Anolis sagrei: one gene and its partner. The protein of the gene in region 1 purifies or fractionates together with the protein of each later gene. This does not show direct contact. Links are inferred from orthologs where the notes say so. Each region holds a gene or a part of one and is shown on either strand. Other genes may lie near its edges.

Region 1 (8,571 bases):
GATCAACTGGTGGAGTTTGGGAAAACTAGATCTTGACATTTGGGAGTTGTAGTTCCTGGGATTTATAGTTCAGATTCAATCAAAGAGCATTCTGAACTCCACCAATGATGGAATTGAACCAAACTTAGCACACAGAACTATCATAACCAACAGAAAATACTGTTTCCTGATGGTCTTTGGTGACACCTCTGACACCCCCTTGCGACCCCCCCCCCAGGGGTCCCAACCCCCAGGTTGAGAAACACTGACCTAAGGGAAAGCAAGTGCTCTTGAGATATCTATGCTCAGTTGGATCTAGCAAGCATAGGTAGGTCTTCTGCCACAAGATTCTTAGCTTCCCACAAAAGGAATATTCATTTAGAACACTATCTGACTATTCCACTACCGCTACCCTTAGGAAGAATATATAGTAGAGCTAGGTTTGAAAACTCAGTATTAAGATGCAAACCGGGTGTTACCGTAACATCCCAAGAAGTGAACGATTCTGCTTATGGGGAGAACAAACTGTGGAAGATATTGAACATTTCTTAATTGATTGTCCAGCATATACTGAACTGCGATACAGATAGTTACACCCGATATTATCCAACTGCAGGTCCTCCAACAGAAATGGCATTCCTCTTGCAAGGACAGGAAAGATCCAGCATAATCAGAGTAAGCCTTTTTATTCTGAAAGCTATTAAGAAAAGAGCAGATTTCCTGAAAGAAGAACCAGGAAAATAAGATTCTGACTGTAAATAGAAGGTCAGCTTCTGTCCTTTACTTTTTTGCCTTGTCTTTTACCCATGTTGTATTTTGAAATGGTCATATGACTGGTCAAATAAATAAATAGTTATTATCACTTGAATGTCTATATGTTTAGATACATTTGCATCACTGCTATTAGTGGATACTGGTCTTTCTGGCTTTTTAATGTTGCAATGTGCGTTGTAGACAGTGGCACTATTAAATCAATTTATAGAATAAGTAAACTGCGAATGAAAACCTTTTGTTTTCAGACTAGATTTCTTCATTATTCTAGTAGCCAAGGTGCCTTTCCCCATTTTTTGAGCCCTCTTCTAAGAAGAGTAGAAATCACAGCTGGTCACATGAGCTTGTGCATAAACTTTTGGATTAAAGTGGAGGTAGAAGCAAAAACAGGCATTTATCTTTTTGGGAATCAGATACTCATTTATTTATACACATAATAAAATTGAAAAATGTGTATGTGGCGGAGGTGTCCACTTACACAGACAGCCTCTGGCCTCCACAAACAGGTTATAGTTCACCCACATCGTTATGTATTTTTTCATGAAATTAAAACAACATTTATTGATAGACAAACGGAGCTTCTTTTCTCCTGGTTGCCACAATAAAGTTTCTGTTGAAAAAAGAAATCTTTTTAAAAAAATAAACTTTTATTAAGTTTTTTTCAGGGTATATATAAAAAAAAGTGTGGGGGGACATTTAAGCTTATGCAGTTCTATGTATTGTCGAAGGCTTTAATGGCTGGAATCACTGGGTTGTTGTAGGTTTTTTCGGGCTGTATGGCCATGGTCTAGAGGCATTCTCTCCTGACGTTTCACCTGCATCTATGGCAAGCATCCTCAGAGGTAGTGAGATGATGCAGTTCTGTTCTTTGATCTTTTCGTTTCCCAATATGAGTACTGTTATTTTACTATGCTGTATATAACTCTGTCGTGACTTTAATTATGTATTTTCTAATGGGAGTATTCATAAAAAATGAAATCTATTCTTTCTAATAATTAACTAAATGATATTACCTAACACCCCAAAACAAACAAGGCCTTTTTCAAATAACTCAGGCACCACCGGGTATCCAAGCTAGTAGAATAATAGATTTGGAAGAGACCATGTGAACCATCTAGTCCAACTCTCTGCCATGTGGGAAAAGCACAAAGCACCCTCAATGGGTGGCCACCCAGGCCCCTCCTACACAGCCATATAATCCAGATCATAAAATCACATAATATACATTATCTACTTTGCACTGGATTATATGAGTCTACACTGCCATATAATCCAGTTCAAAACAGATAATCTGAATTGTATATTGCAATGTAGAAGGGGCCCCAGCCTCTGTTTAAAAGCCTTCAAGGAAGGAAGTACTCATTAGAGAATCATTGCAAATCATTTAAAAAAAAACATTCAACACATCCAGACCACAGCCAACATTCTCTTCTCTATAGATGAGAAAAGGACATGTGATTTAGGCCCCTTCTACATTGCCATATAATCCCGATTATCAAAACAGATAATCCACATTATCTGCTTTGAACGGGATTATATGAGTGTATGCTGCCATATAATCCAGTTCAAAGCAGAATCTGGATTTTATATGTAGTGTAGAAGGGCCGTCACAGGGCAATCCTGTCAGGTCTAGTAAAATGTAAGTAGAGCATTGGATCTTGGGAACTCACTCCCAGGTAAATGGGTATGAATTGAACATTTACTCTGCAATTTAGCTCAGACTCTTTAGTTCCAAATTCATTGGGAGAACAAACTGAGATGGCAATTATTTTTAAAATATCACAAAACATTAATATCCACATAAAATATACAGTCAGCCCTCCATATTCATGGATTTTTCATCAACGGATTCAACAATCTATGGCTTGAAAATATTTTTTATAATCCAAGAAGCAAATCTTGATTTTACCATTTTATTCATTTATTTACCAATATTTATTTGCAGTATTTATAGTCCGCCCTTCTCACCCACGGGGACAGGGCGGATTATATGAGGGACACTATTTTATCCATATGAGGGACACTATTTTATCATATTATAAAATAGGGACACTATTTTATCATATGATAAAATAGTGTCCCTCATATGCCATATGAGGGACACTATTTTATCATATTACTTGTATATAATGGAACTTGAGCATCCATGGATTTTGGTATCTACAGGTGAACCAAATCCCATGGGACACCAAGGAGTCTCTCTATTGGTCTATGTATATCCAAGATAAGAGACACTGTCTTTATGGCAATCCTACATGGTAACCAACCCATTGTTATAATGCATCACATTGATTAAAGGAGTCCAATATAACCATAGTGTCACATTGATTGGAAACATGCTCACAGGTTTCTGTTTCACCATGAGTTTAAGTGAACAATTTCATCACACAAGCCTGGAGAACCAGCCAGCAAAGCCGGATTATGGGTTGAGGATTTTGGCAGGTGTAGTCCAAAAGCATCTTGAGGGCCAAAGATGTCACAATCCATTAATTAAAGTGAATTTAACAGACTGTTCTTGTATGGTCAGAACATCAATTTGCTAGGTCAGAACATCCATTGATACTAAAGATCTTTCCAGATATGATGCTGATGGTTCCTGGGTTCTCTAGCAAGTAGAAGTACACATGTTGGGCAAAGTACCACTCAACTCACCAATAACTGCTACCACTTGGGATAGAAGCAGATGATACTAGGCTAGATGGACAGGAAGAAGTCTAGCCTGGTGTAATGATACTGAAATTGGTTGGCAGTATTTGAGTTCTTTATTGTTCTGTATACGAATCAATGATTGTAATGTTTGATCATTGGACTGCAACTCTAAAGACTGGGATCGGATCCTCTGCTTGCCCAAGGAAACCACTTGATGACATTGGGTAAGTCACATACTCTCAGCCCCAGAAAACCCTATTATAGGGTTTCAAGGCACACCATTACAACATACCACTACACCTTTCATGCTACACAATAATAGTACTTTGATACCGTGCATCCAGGACATTCTACTGTCAATCAGCTTCTACCATCAAAAATTCTTCCTAATGTTTACGCAGCATCTCTCTTTCAATTTATTGTTTCTTATCCTAGCATCTGGAGCAACAGAAAACAGGCACACTCCCTCTTCTAAATTATATTCTTTCAAATGTTTGAAAATCGCTATCATGCCACCTCTCAGTCTTCCCTACTCCAAGTAAACAAACGCAGCTCCCTAAGGCATGTGTCACAGTTTTTGACATTTTAACATTTTAGTCACCCTACTCTGTAACAGAAGATTTGCAGAGCACCTGATGAACCAGCCTGGGTACATCATATTATTTGAGAACACAGAAATGCTGGACCACTCTCACAACCACCATGTCAGACTACACAGAGAAGCCATTGAAATACCCAAGCATGTGGGCAACTTCAACAGAAAGGAGGAAACCATGAAAATGAACAAAATCTGGCTACCAGTACTAAAAAAACTCTAAAATTACAACAACACAACAACAGAGAGGAAACAAACAAGGACATCTAATCACCTCTCAACAAAAGTTTGCTCCAGGCACAGTCAGGCCATTATATGCTAATCAAGGTGATCAGTTGAAACATTCACACCTAGCTCCAGCAGACAAGAGTCCTTTGTACCACCCTGGACAAAAGTTTGAGAACCCCTGGCCTAGAAGATCTTATGCTACCAACTGTTTTATCTCATGACCCTTCCAGACAGGCCCTATATACCAGGATCTGATTCCAAGTTTTCTGATTTAGCTGGTTTAGGCAATCTCTCGTTGCCCGAGTAAGACTGTCCTCCAAGGTCAGTGTACTGGCCTTGGGTCCGTAGGTGACTGTGGAGCCCTATTCATGACATGCATGTTCTCCCACAGTGAGGGCATCGGTTTTCAGGTGGAAGGTGATCCTGGTCAGGGTTAGTTTGATGTACCTTCTTCTTGGCACGCTTCTCTCTTTTGCCCTCTACTCGTGCCTCTTCAAATTCTCCAGCACTGCTGGTCACAACTGACCTCACTCAAGGGCCAGGGCTTCCCAGTTCTCAGTATCTATTCCAGAGATTTTAAGGTTGGCTTTGAGCCCATCTTTAAATCTCTTTTCCTGCTCACCAACATTCCCTTTTTCGTTCTTGAGTTCAGAGTTGAGCAACCGCTTTTTTCTGCTTTAAACTGGATTATATGAGTCTGCACTGTCAGATAATCTGGGATTAACAGAAAACCTGGGATCAGATCCTGGGATGTAGGGCCTGTCTAGAAGGGCCCTCAGTTTTTCTCAAAAATGCATATACTGTAGGATATAAAAGTTTGTGTCTAGAGTAAGGGGGGAAGGAACTCCTATGAATGCTCCCTCTTCTCTCCCCTCCCACCCTGTGTTTGAGTGACAGGCACCGCCACCAATCGCGGCACCACTTCCGCCTTCCCTGCAGCTGCCTGTCTGGAGGCTTTTCCCGCCCCAGGCTGCGGAAGGGCTGCTTCCCATTGGGCGGCGGGGAGACTCTTCCAAGGGCACCGCCCACCTTTTGGCTTCCTCTTCCTCCCCTCTAATCTTGCTCCTGTTTCCGGTCGTGGCTGAGGCAGCTGTGCAACTGGGAGGCAGTGTGGCCTGGCAGCCAGTGTGGTATGTAATGGGTGTCGCTGTGCTTCCCTGCGGGCTGAGAAAGGCCTCCTTCCTTGACTAGGAAAGAGGACTGAGATTCCTTAATAATAACCCTATGGAAGGAAGTAGGACCTACCAATTTGCCCACCCCACTTTTGGAGTGCATTCATGTCCCACTTTCTATCCCTCTGTGTTTTGGTTTCTTACTGTGGTGCCTCCCCATTGGAAGCTGCCCTACTTCCTGTGTCATGCTGGTGTGTCCTATTAATCCTTACTGTCTCCTCCATCCAGAGCTTCATGGTGTGCAACTATTCTGGCCCCACATCCCTCCCTGGGTGTGGGGCTGGCCTGCTTCCCTGTGTCGTCTTTTCCTTGCTCTGTTTTCCAACTCTGCAGAGTCCAGGCGCCTTGAAGAAGAAAGAAAACCATGGCCGTTCAATGCAAGGAATTGGAGAACATGGAGAGGGCCAGCAGATCCAGAGGCGGGGCCTTGGGGGAAGAGATGTGAATCAACCTGTTCAGCAGCCTCCGCAATTCCTCTCTGGTTCTCAAAAACCACAGACTCCATTAACTGCCCTGGGGGCCAGTCACACCACACAGCTATAGCAGTATGATTCTATTTTAGCTGCCATGGTTACACCCCATGGAGCTCTGGAGTTTGCAGTTTAATCAGGGGCACTCACTGACACTCTCTGTGGAGCGAAGAGCTAATTTCTATATGCGTTTGAGTGCAGGTATTCAGTGCTTGTTACGTTTGTCTTCATCACCATGTGCTTGATTTATTACACTGATATCTCAGCTTTTATCAGAGGAACTTGAAGAGGAGCGTAAACAGTTCTTCCTTTCTCCACATTTTACCCCCCTCCCCCATTTTTCTCTCTTTGAGAGATAGTTTAGGTACTTCCACACCAGGGGTCCTCAAACTTTTTAACAGAGGGCCAGGTCATAGCCCCTCAAACTGTTGGAGGGATGGATTATAATTTGAAAAATTTGAAAAATATCTTATTTGTAGTGCAAAAAACACTTTAAAACAATACAATAATTAGGTTCTTGTAGGTTTTTTCGGGCTATAGGGCCATGTTCTAGAGGCATTTCTCCTGACGTTTCGCCTGCATCTATGGCAAGCATCCTCAGAGGTAGTGAGGTCTGTTGGAAATAGGAAAATGGGTTTATATATCTGTGGAATGACTGGGGTGGGGCAAAGAGCTCTCTGCTGAAGCTAGGTGTGAATGTTTCAGCTGACCACCTTCATTAGCAATTGAAGTCCACAAGCATGTGGACAATTTCAACAGAAAGGAGGAGACCATGAAAATGAACAAAATCTGGCTACCAGTATTAAAAAACTCTAAAATTACAACAGCAAAACAGCAGAGAGGAAACAACCAGGCACATCTTAACACCTCTCAACAGAACATTTTCCCAGGCTCAGCCAGGCCTTCAAATGCTAATGAAGGTGGTCAGCTGAAACATTCACACCTAGCTTAGGTTGACCCTGAGCGAGGGCTAGGTAAATGACCTTGGAGGGCCATATCCGGCCCCCAGCCCTTAGTTTGAGGACCCCTGTTCCACACAGCCATATCACTCGGGACCCTTCCACACAGCCCTGTATCCCAGAATATTAAGGCAGAAATCTGCTTTGAACTGGGATATCTGAGTCCACACTCAGATAATGTGGCATTTCTTGCCATTTTTTTGTCATGTCAGGAGCAACTTGAGAAACTGCAAGTCACTTCTGGTGTGAGAGAATTGGCTATCTGCAAGGATGTTGCCCAGGGGACGCCTGGATGATTTGATGTTTTTATCATCCTTGTGGGAGGCTTCTCTCATGTCCCCGCATGAAGAGCTGGAGTCGATAGAGGGAGCTCATCTGCCTCTCCCCGGATTCAAACCTGCGACCTGTGGGTCTTCAGTCCTGCCGGCACAGGGGTTTAACCCACTGCATCTCCGGGTGCTCCATTTCTTGCCATGATATTGTGGGATATAGGGCTGTGTGGAAGGGCCCCCCAAAATCAAGGCACATAATCCACAATATCTGCTTTGAACTGAGGTTAGATGGGCCATTTCAAATCAACTAAAAATCTAGTGTGTTTCAAAAATATGTACCTGATTTGAACTTGCTATATATATCTGCAACTATGAACTGCCTTGTAAGGGTGGGGCACACAAACAGCCCCTAGACTCAGTCATTCACAAGATGGCAGGCCTGCAACGTAAGGCCTAATTAGATATTCTCAAGTTACAGCGTTATTTTTTTAGATGTGTTTGTGGCTCAAAATAGTGAAATCTGATAAGTCATTAAACCATTTGTAACTTTTTGTGTCGTTGTAACATGTTGCCATTGTGAAATATATTGCTTTGAAATTGGGTCTGTCGTTTTGAAACACCATGTATTTCGCTTTTGGTCAACCTTGCTAGGATTGATAAGAATTGGAGTTCAACCACATATTCCCAAGCCTTACTCTAACTATTGTGTCACATGGTCTATACATGTTTCCTCATAACTTTTTCAGATTTGATTATTCATGGACTTGATAAAAAATGTGGACCCTAGGAATCTCCAGGCCTTCCAGTGTGACTATGGCCAACTTCCTATCTGGTGGTCCTCAAAATTTCTAAAGAGAGCACCTTTTCCAAAGGTCCTTCAGTGCAATTCTGTGGTCAACTTCCAGTGGAAGCTGGCCATAGAGTCATGCTGGAAGGTCTAGGAATTTCTGTGTGTGGTTTTCCACTTTCACATGGGCTCTATACTCCTCACCCTAGTATATGTGGTGAACTGACTGTAGTTGTGTTCCAGGTGGGATACGCCCACATTGGCTTTAACAACTCTTCCATGAGATTGTTAGTTTAGATTCGCAATGACTTTGTGATGTTTTTTTGTGAAGTTTGTTAGAAAGTAGGGTGTGGAAGTGAATCATAGAAAGATAAACATGCCGCTCTTTTTTTTGCAAATCTTTTGTCAGGCCTCAGAATGCTTTTGTTTTCAGTGAAATATTTGAATAGTGCAACAAGAGGTTGCAGAGCTTTTGCATCATCTCCATTCTCCTCTGAGCTCATGTAAATACTTGAGCAGCCTCCATTCAACAAAGTCTGCAGCTTGTGAAAAAGAAGGCTTCTTATGTTTATTTAAGTATATTTCTGTGCCTGTCAAGACAAGACAACCTCCCCAGACAGTTAATAAAGAAAATAATAAAAAGTATACAATATATTTAAGGTGGCAGCAACAACAGCATAACAGTGTTT
Region 2 (7,814 bases), on another chromosome or scaffold:
ACTGCCTGGAAAATCCTGAAGCCCAAGGCTATTGTACATACATCAACACAACCCATAGCTTGGGGTGGGGGGCAGAAAGAATAACTACTGAAGGGGTTGTACTGTGTACGTTTGTGGAAACCATTATAGTAGAATCATTTTAGGTTTGCCATAAGTTGGAATGTTTTTATTAATAATGACCTCAAGACACACAAAAAGTTGTATCTTAATAGACTTAAGATTTCTATATGCTTAGATATAAGTTTTACATTTTAATTAGCATTTTAAGGTTCTTTGATACTATGCTTGGTTGGCATTAACTCATTTGGAACCTACCCAAAGACCTAAGGAATCAACCATTTAATCACCACCCTTCTCCAACCTGCTACCCTCCAGGTATTATTAACTACAATATATATTATCCTTGAAAAATGAATAATAATAATATATGCATGGGCATGTGAAAAATGTGGTCAGCAAAGAACATATCCAAAGAGTCAGAAAGGTTTTGAAGAGCAAATTAAATGATGGAAATACAATCAAGGCTATCACCACCTGGGCCATCCCCATGTTTAGATACACTGCTGGAATTGTGAAGTGGACACAAGCAGAGCTGGATGATCTGGACAGAAAAACAAGAAAACTGATGACAATCCACTACTCATTGCACCCGCATAGTGATGTCAACAAACTTTACCTGCCCAGAAAATCAGGAGGCAGTGGGCTTCTGCAAGTGAAACAAACAGTAGAAGAAGAGAAACATGCACTGGCAGATTATGTGAAAGATAGTCAAGAACCAACATTGAGGGAAGTCAATAGTAGTAAATTGCTTAAAGTGCAAAAGACAAAGAGTGAATACTGTAAAAAACACAATGCAGAGCAGAAGAGAAAAGTGGCAAAAGAAGGCTCTCCATGGACAGTTCCTGGGGAAAATTGAGAGCCAAATTGACAAAGAAAAACATGGTTATGGCTCACAAATGGGACTCTGAAAAAGGAGATGGAGGGCCTGATTCTGGCAGCCCAAGAACAAGCCATTAGAACAAATGTAATCAAAGCCAAAATTGAAAAGTCGGTGACAGATCCCAAGTGAAGACTCTGCAAGGAAGCAGATGAAACAATAGTTCACATCCTCAGCTGCTGCAAGAAGATCGCACAGATAGACTACAAGCAGAGGCCTAACACCATTGCTTGGATGCCTCATTGGAACTTGTGCCACAAAAACCATTTGCCTGCGACAAAGAACTAGTGGGATCACAAGCCAGAAAAAGTTACAGAAAATGAACACGTCAAACTAGCCAATGCTTTCCCTCCCTTGTGTTATACCCATATACTCTGGGACTTCTAAATTCAGACTGACAGAGTTTTGGAGCACAATATTCCTGACCTCACGATCGTGTTAAAAAACAAAGTATGGATTGTCGATGTTGTAATCCCAGGCGACAGCAGGATTGAAGAGAAACAACTGGAAAAGCTGGCACAATATGATGATTTAAAGATCGAACTGCGAAGACTCTGGCACAAGCCAGTAAAGGTGGACCCAGTGGTGATCTGCACACTGGATGCAATGCCTAAAGACCTTGACCTGCACTTAAAAACAACCAGCACTGACAAAATTACCCTATGTCCGTTGCAAAAGGCCACCCTATTCGAACTGCACACATTATTCGCCAATACATCACACAGTCCTAGATACGTCAGAAGTGTCTGAAGTGTGATCAAGTACAAAAGCCAGCATAGTGATCTTGTTTGCTGTGTACTGATCTTATGTATCAAACAATAGTAGTAGTAATAATAACACTTTATTTATAACCCACCATCTCCCCCCAAAGGGACTCAGGGCGGTTAACATCCTCAGTTAGTTTGCTGACGATGCAATAAATCAGAATGATAATGTGAACAGTTCATCATCATCATAATTATCGTGTATTTGTATATAGCACCTTGACTGCACAAGATGTTTCAAAACAACAAAGCAATTCCCTGCCCTCTGACTTAGAATAATTAATTATTTTCTCACACTGAGAACACTAAATATACTTAGGAAAAACGACAATGGTAATGAACCCTTTATCCTTGAACAACTGATAAGGGGATCATGCTGCTTGGGTAGGCACGGAACAGTAATCATCTGATTACCAAAGGTTTGCTTGCTCTGCAACAAAATTTTGCAATCTTGCTCTTCCAAGTCAAACAAGTTCACATTGGATCATTCTAAGAGTCTGTCGTAAGACACAGCTGCACATTCAAAATGCTGCATATATATGGAGCCCACAGTGGTGCAGTGGGTTACACCACTGAGCTACTGAGCTTGTTGACCAAAAGGTCGCAGGTTCAAATCCGGAGAGCGGCGTGAGCCTCCGCTGTCAGCCCCAGCTTCTGCCAACCTAGCAGTTTGAAAACATGCAAATGTGAGATCAATAGGTGGGAAGGTAACAGTACTCCATGCAGTCATGCTGGCCACGTGACCTTGGAGGTGTCTACGGACAATGCCGGCTCTTCAGCTTAGAAATAGAGATGAGCACCACACCCCAGAGTTGGACACGACTGGTCTTAATGTCAGGGTAAACCTTTACCTTTATACATACATACACACACACATATATATACACACCCATAACTGAAGCCAGTGTTCAGTTTTACAAAAAGCCTAACAAGGTACAAGAAGTTCACTGCACCATACCTTTTAATAAAGCAAATAAAGTCTGAGAATCAATACTGAAGAGAAGTTGTCAAGGGAAATTGCTTCTTGATCTCTGAACCAATATATCCTCCAAGTGTCAAGGTGGATCTATATGAGAGAATGAATGCATTTTGACACCAAGACTATACGATCACGGGAGTTGTAGTTAGGCGAGGCACCAGCATTCTTTGGCAGAGAAAGCCTATGAAACTACAATCCCCATACCTCCATGGCACTGAGCTAAAAGTATTGACAAACTGCATTAATTCTGCAGTACAGATGCACCTCTAGTCTTAGTATAATGTAATGTTAGGTTAGTTTGCTGAGACTAAAGACCTTGTAAAACTACATCTCCCATGATTCCACGTTAAAGTGGTGTCAAACTGCATTAATTCTACAGTGCAGATACAAGGTTAAATTCCACCCTTTCCTTCTGAACCTTTAGCCAATGCTTTCCCTCCCTTGCCTTATATTCATATACTCGCCTCCTCTAGGAACTTGGTGAGGTCATAGATGCGGTTGTGCAGGATGATCCAGGTGCTCTGGCTATGGTTGTGCTTCTGGATCTCTTCCAGCGTGTGGTAGCGACCCCGCCATGGCTCCTTCCCGGGCTTGGTCTCACTCTTGGTCTCCACCATCGCCTCTGCCTTCCACCCGGCTGATGCTCTCCTCTAACGCAGGCTCTTACAGCACCTCCGGATCCTAGCCGTAGAACTCTGACCTGGGAGGCCTCGGCGCATGCGCAACGCCAGAGCACGCCCGCCTCTACGCAAGGGAAAGGCGGGGACCTGATCCTCTTGCTTGATTTTCATTGGCCTCGTGGAACGCTTTCGTAACGGATTGGCAGGGCGCCTGTGGGCGGGTCCTGTGTTCCTGCAGAATTCCAAGAAACTCAGGGGCTTGCTTTCCTGGGATGAAATGGGAGGATTGTTGCAGGATCTCGACGTTGTTTTAGGAAACTGAAGTTATTCACCAGGTGACACAAAAAGTAAAACAGATCTCTCCTTCTACTTCAAACTTATTATCCAGAGTATATATGTGTGTATTTATTTATTTATTTATTTATTTAATGCACTTGTATACCGCTAATATCTCAGCCTAAATCGGCGACTCATTGCGGTTTACAACATTTAAAAAACAATATTCAGTTAAAAGCATAAAACACATATACAGTACAAATTATTGGGCCACCAATAACAATCCTATGCATCTCATAACTGGAATCGTAATCCAAAATTCATCGTCCGTGTATAACCAATCCTTAGTCATCACAATTCGTTACAACGGATTAACCGAATGCTTGTTTAAACATCCATGTCTTCAATCTTTTCCGAAACACCATCAGCGAAGGGGCTGATCGTACCTCTATGGGGAGGGTGTTCCAAAGCCGGGGGGCCACCACAGAAAAGGCCCTATCTCTCGTCCCCGCCAGCCGAGCTTGAGAAGCAGGCGGGATCGAGAGCAGGGTCTCCCCGGAAGATCTCAAACTCCTGGTGGGTTCATAGGCAGAGATGCAGTCAGATAGGTAGCTTGGGCCGGAACCGTTTAGGGCTTTAAAGGCCAGCGCCAGCACTTTGAATTCAGCCCGGTAGCAGATCGGTAGCCAGTGGAGTTGGCGCAACAGGGGGGTTGTATGCTCCCTGCGCTCCGCTCCTGTTAAAATCATGGCTGCCGAGCGTTGGACTAGTTGGAGCTTCCGAGTTGTCTTCAAAGGCAACCCCACGTAGAGAGCGTTGCAGTAGTCTAAACAGGATGTAACCAGAGTGTGGACTACCGTGGCCAAGTCAGACTTCCCAAGGTATGGGCGCAGCTGGCGCACAAGCTTTAGCTGTGCAAATGCTCCCCTGGTCACCGCCGAAACCTGGGGTTCCAGGCTCAGCGATGAGTCCAGGATCACTCCCAAGCTGCGAACCTTCATCTTCAGGGGGAGTGTGGCCCCATCCAACACAGGCTGTAACCCTATGCCCTGTTTGGCCTTGCGACTGACCAGGAGTACCTCTGTCTTGTCTGGATTCAATTTCAATTTGTTCGCCCTCATCCAGACCGTCACAGCGGCCAGGCACCGGTTCAGGACCTGGACAGCCTCCTTAGTAGCAGGTGGAAAGGAGTGACAGAGTTGGACATCATCCGCGTACAGATGACACCGTACCCCGAAACTCCGGATGATCTCCCCCAGCGGCTTCATGTAGATGTTAAACAACATGGGAGACAATATTGAGCCCTGAGGAACCCCACAAGACAATGGTTGTGGGGTTGAACAGGTGTCCCCCAACAACACCTTCTGAGATCGACCCTCCAGGAATGACCGGAGCCACTGCAAAACAGTACCTCCAAGACCCATCCCTGCGAGGCGTCCCAGAAGGATACCGTGGTCGACGGTATCGAAGGCCGCTGAGAGGTCGAGCAGCACCAACAGGGACACACTCCCCCTGTCGAGCTCCCGGCGCAGATCATCCACTAAGGCGACCAAGGCTGTCTCGGTACCATGTCCCGGCCTAAAGCCAGACTGTGCCGGGTCTAGATAATCCGTGTCTACCAAGAATACCTGGAGTTGTGAGGCCACCACACGTTCCAAGACTTTGCCCAAGAAGGGGAGATTGGAAACTGGCCGATAGTTGTCGAATTTAGTGGGGTCCAGTGATGGTTTCTTCAACAGCGGTTTTATTATAGCTTGTTTTAAGCTCGCTGGAAACTTGCCTTCCTGAAGGGAAGCATTAACCACCACCTTAACCCACTCAGCCAATCCCCTTCTGGCCTCCTTTAGAAGCCAGGATGGGCAGGGGTCCAGGATGCATGTGGTTGGCCTCATTCCTCCAAGTATCTTGTCCACATCCTCGGGTTTCACCAATTGAAATGAATCCATCAAAACTGGACAAGCAGGTGCTCGTGTTACATCCTCAGAGACTGCCATATACATATACACATATGTATATAAAATGTATATATTATATATACACCATAATTTCTACATATAGGTATATATAACTTTTCAGCACTAGCTATTTTGCAGTTTTCAGAATAGGAGCATAATTCCAGAGAGCATTATAGATTGTGGTATCACCTATTAATCAATTGACACTGTTTTATGGAAAGGGAAATAAGAATATTTTAGAAAAATTACATTTTTGGAGACAAAATCAAGTGGATACTATGGCATAACTGATCTGGAAATCCAAATCAGTTCAAAATTCGAAATCGTCCACATGGTTGACTGAGATAGTAACACTTCTGCTTTCTCGTGGGTAATAAATAAAATTAATTATTATTATTGCACAAATTTAGTTTCATGAAAAAATGTGTAAAATTACCCATCTGCACTGCCATATAATGCAATTTGAAGTTACATTTATGGTCAGTGTAAATCAGGGGTACTCAAACTTTTTATGCAGAGGGTCAGATCATGGTCCTCCAGACTATTGGGGAGCTGGACAATAGTTTGAAAAAAAATGAATAAATTGCTGTGCACACTGCATGTATCTTATTTGTAGTGCAAAAAGCCATCAAATAACTATTTATTTATTCATTTATTGTATTAGGAGAAAACCAGGGATACAGTTGTAATGTGTTTATATTAAAAAAACCCACAAAGTTTAAAAACTTTGCTTTATATTAAATTTCCTTTGACCAGTAGCTGGCCACTTGGAGTGCCTCTGGTGTTGCTATAAGAAGGTCCTTCATTGTGTATGTGGCAGGGCTAAGACTGCATTGTAATAGGTGGTCTGTAGTTTCTTGCTCACATGTCGTGGACTCCATTTTGTGGCCCCATTTCTTAAGGTTGGTGCCAGAGCACAGGCTGTTCAGCACCTTCCAAGTCGCCCAGTCTTCTGTGTGCCCAGGAGGGAATCTCTCATTCAGTATCAGCCATGGCTTAAGGTTCCAGGTTTTAGCCTGCCACTTTTGGACTCTCACTTGCTGAGGTGTTCCTGCAAGTATTTCTGTAGATCTTAGAATACTATTTCTTGATTATTGCCTTTGTGTGCTGGCTGATATCCAAACAGAGGATGGGCCGGAGATGTCACTGCCTTCATTATTGGCTGCTCCTTCCCAGCAGATGTAAGGTGGTGCAGTACTGGCTAAACAGTATAATTTCTCCAGTGATGCAGGGCATAGACATCCTGTGATAATGCAGCATGTCTCATTAAGAGCCACATCCACTGTTTTAGCGTGATGAGATGTATTCCACACTGAGCATGAGTACTCAGCAGCAAAGTAAAAAAGCACAAGGGCCGATCCCCAGGTTGTGCCTGTCAGCTGTCGTATGATACTGTTTCTAGTTCCCACTTTTTGCTTGATATTCAACCAGTGCTTCTTGTAGGTCAAAGAACAATACAATATCGAAAATGAAGAACAAATTTAACCAACATGAACTTACCCATATTTCAACGGGAAGTGTGGACCTGCTTTTGCTGATGAGGTAGTCAGGATTGCTGTTGTGTGCTTTCCAGTCTTTTCAGACTTATTCTAAGTTTTAAGATTAAGTTTTAGACTTAGTCTACATCTAAAGTTTAGGACAGGGGGCACGTAAATAACCTTGAAGGGCCTCAGCCAGCTCACAGCCCTTAGTTTGGGGACTCCTGGTGTACACTGGTATAATGTAATTTAAGTGCATTGAACTTCATTATATGAGTATACACCATGCATGGGCAAACTTCGGTTTTCCAGGTGTTTTGGACTTCAACTCCTACAATTCCTACCAGCTGTTAGGAACTGGAATCATAGAATCAAAGAGTTGGAAGAGACCTCATGGGTCATCCAGTCCAACCCCCTGCCAAGAAGCAGGAAGCTGAAGTCCACAACATCTGGAGGGCCAAAGCTTGCCCATGCCTGGTCTACACTGACCATCTAATGCAGTTCAAAAATCCATTATATAGCAGTGTAGATTTGGCCATTGTGGGCATATATGAATGTTGTCTCTAAATTTGGGTTGCATTTCAATGATTGCTCATTATGTATGTATATGCTCAAATTTTATTTCTCTGTCTCTAGGGCCTAATTTTACCAGTTTGAAAACATGCAAATGTGAGTAGATCAATAGGCGGGAAAGTAACGGCGCTCCTTGCAGTCATGCTGGTCACATGACCTAGGAGGTGTCCACAGACAATGCCGACTCTTTGGCTTAGAAATGGAGATGGGCATCACCCGAGTCGGACCCGAC

What was found. Proteins that work in one complex are often made in the same cells at the same time.
Region 2: the proteins of BCAP31 (region 1) and CYB5A purify together in Homo sapiens (co-immunoprecipitation; 4 studies listed by BioGRID and IntAct, with this or other methods). This does not show direct contact. The link is inferred for Anolis sagrei from reciprocal best matches to the Homo sapiens genes BCAP31 and CYB5A.

The regions. Positions count from the first base shown.
Region 1 is NC_090022.1:177,894,541-177,903,111, reverse strand, and holds the start of BCAP31 (B-cell receptor-associated protein 31), read left to right. Parts: upstream 1-5,240; 5' UTR 5,241-5,335; exon of another isoform or gene 5,336-5,352; intron 5,353-8,571. UniProt on the Homo sapiens protein: Functions as a chaperone protein. Is one of the most abundant endoplasmic reticulum (ER) proteins.
Region 2 is NC_090024.1:72,518,934-72,526,747, forward strand, and holds the start of CYB5A (cytochrome b5), read right to left. Parts: upstream 3,409-7,814; 5' UTR 3,298-3,408; coding exon 3,145-3,297; intron 1-3,144.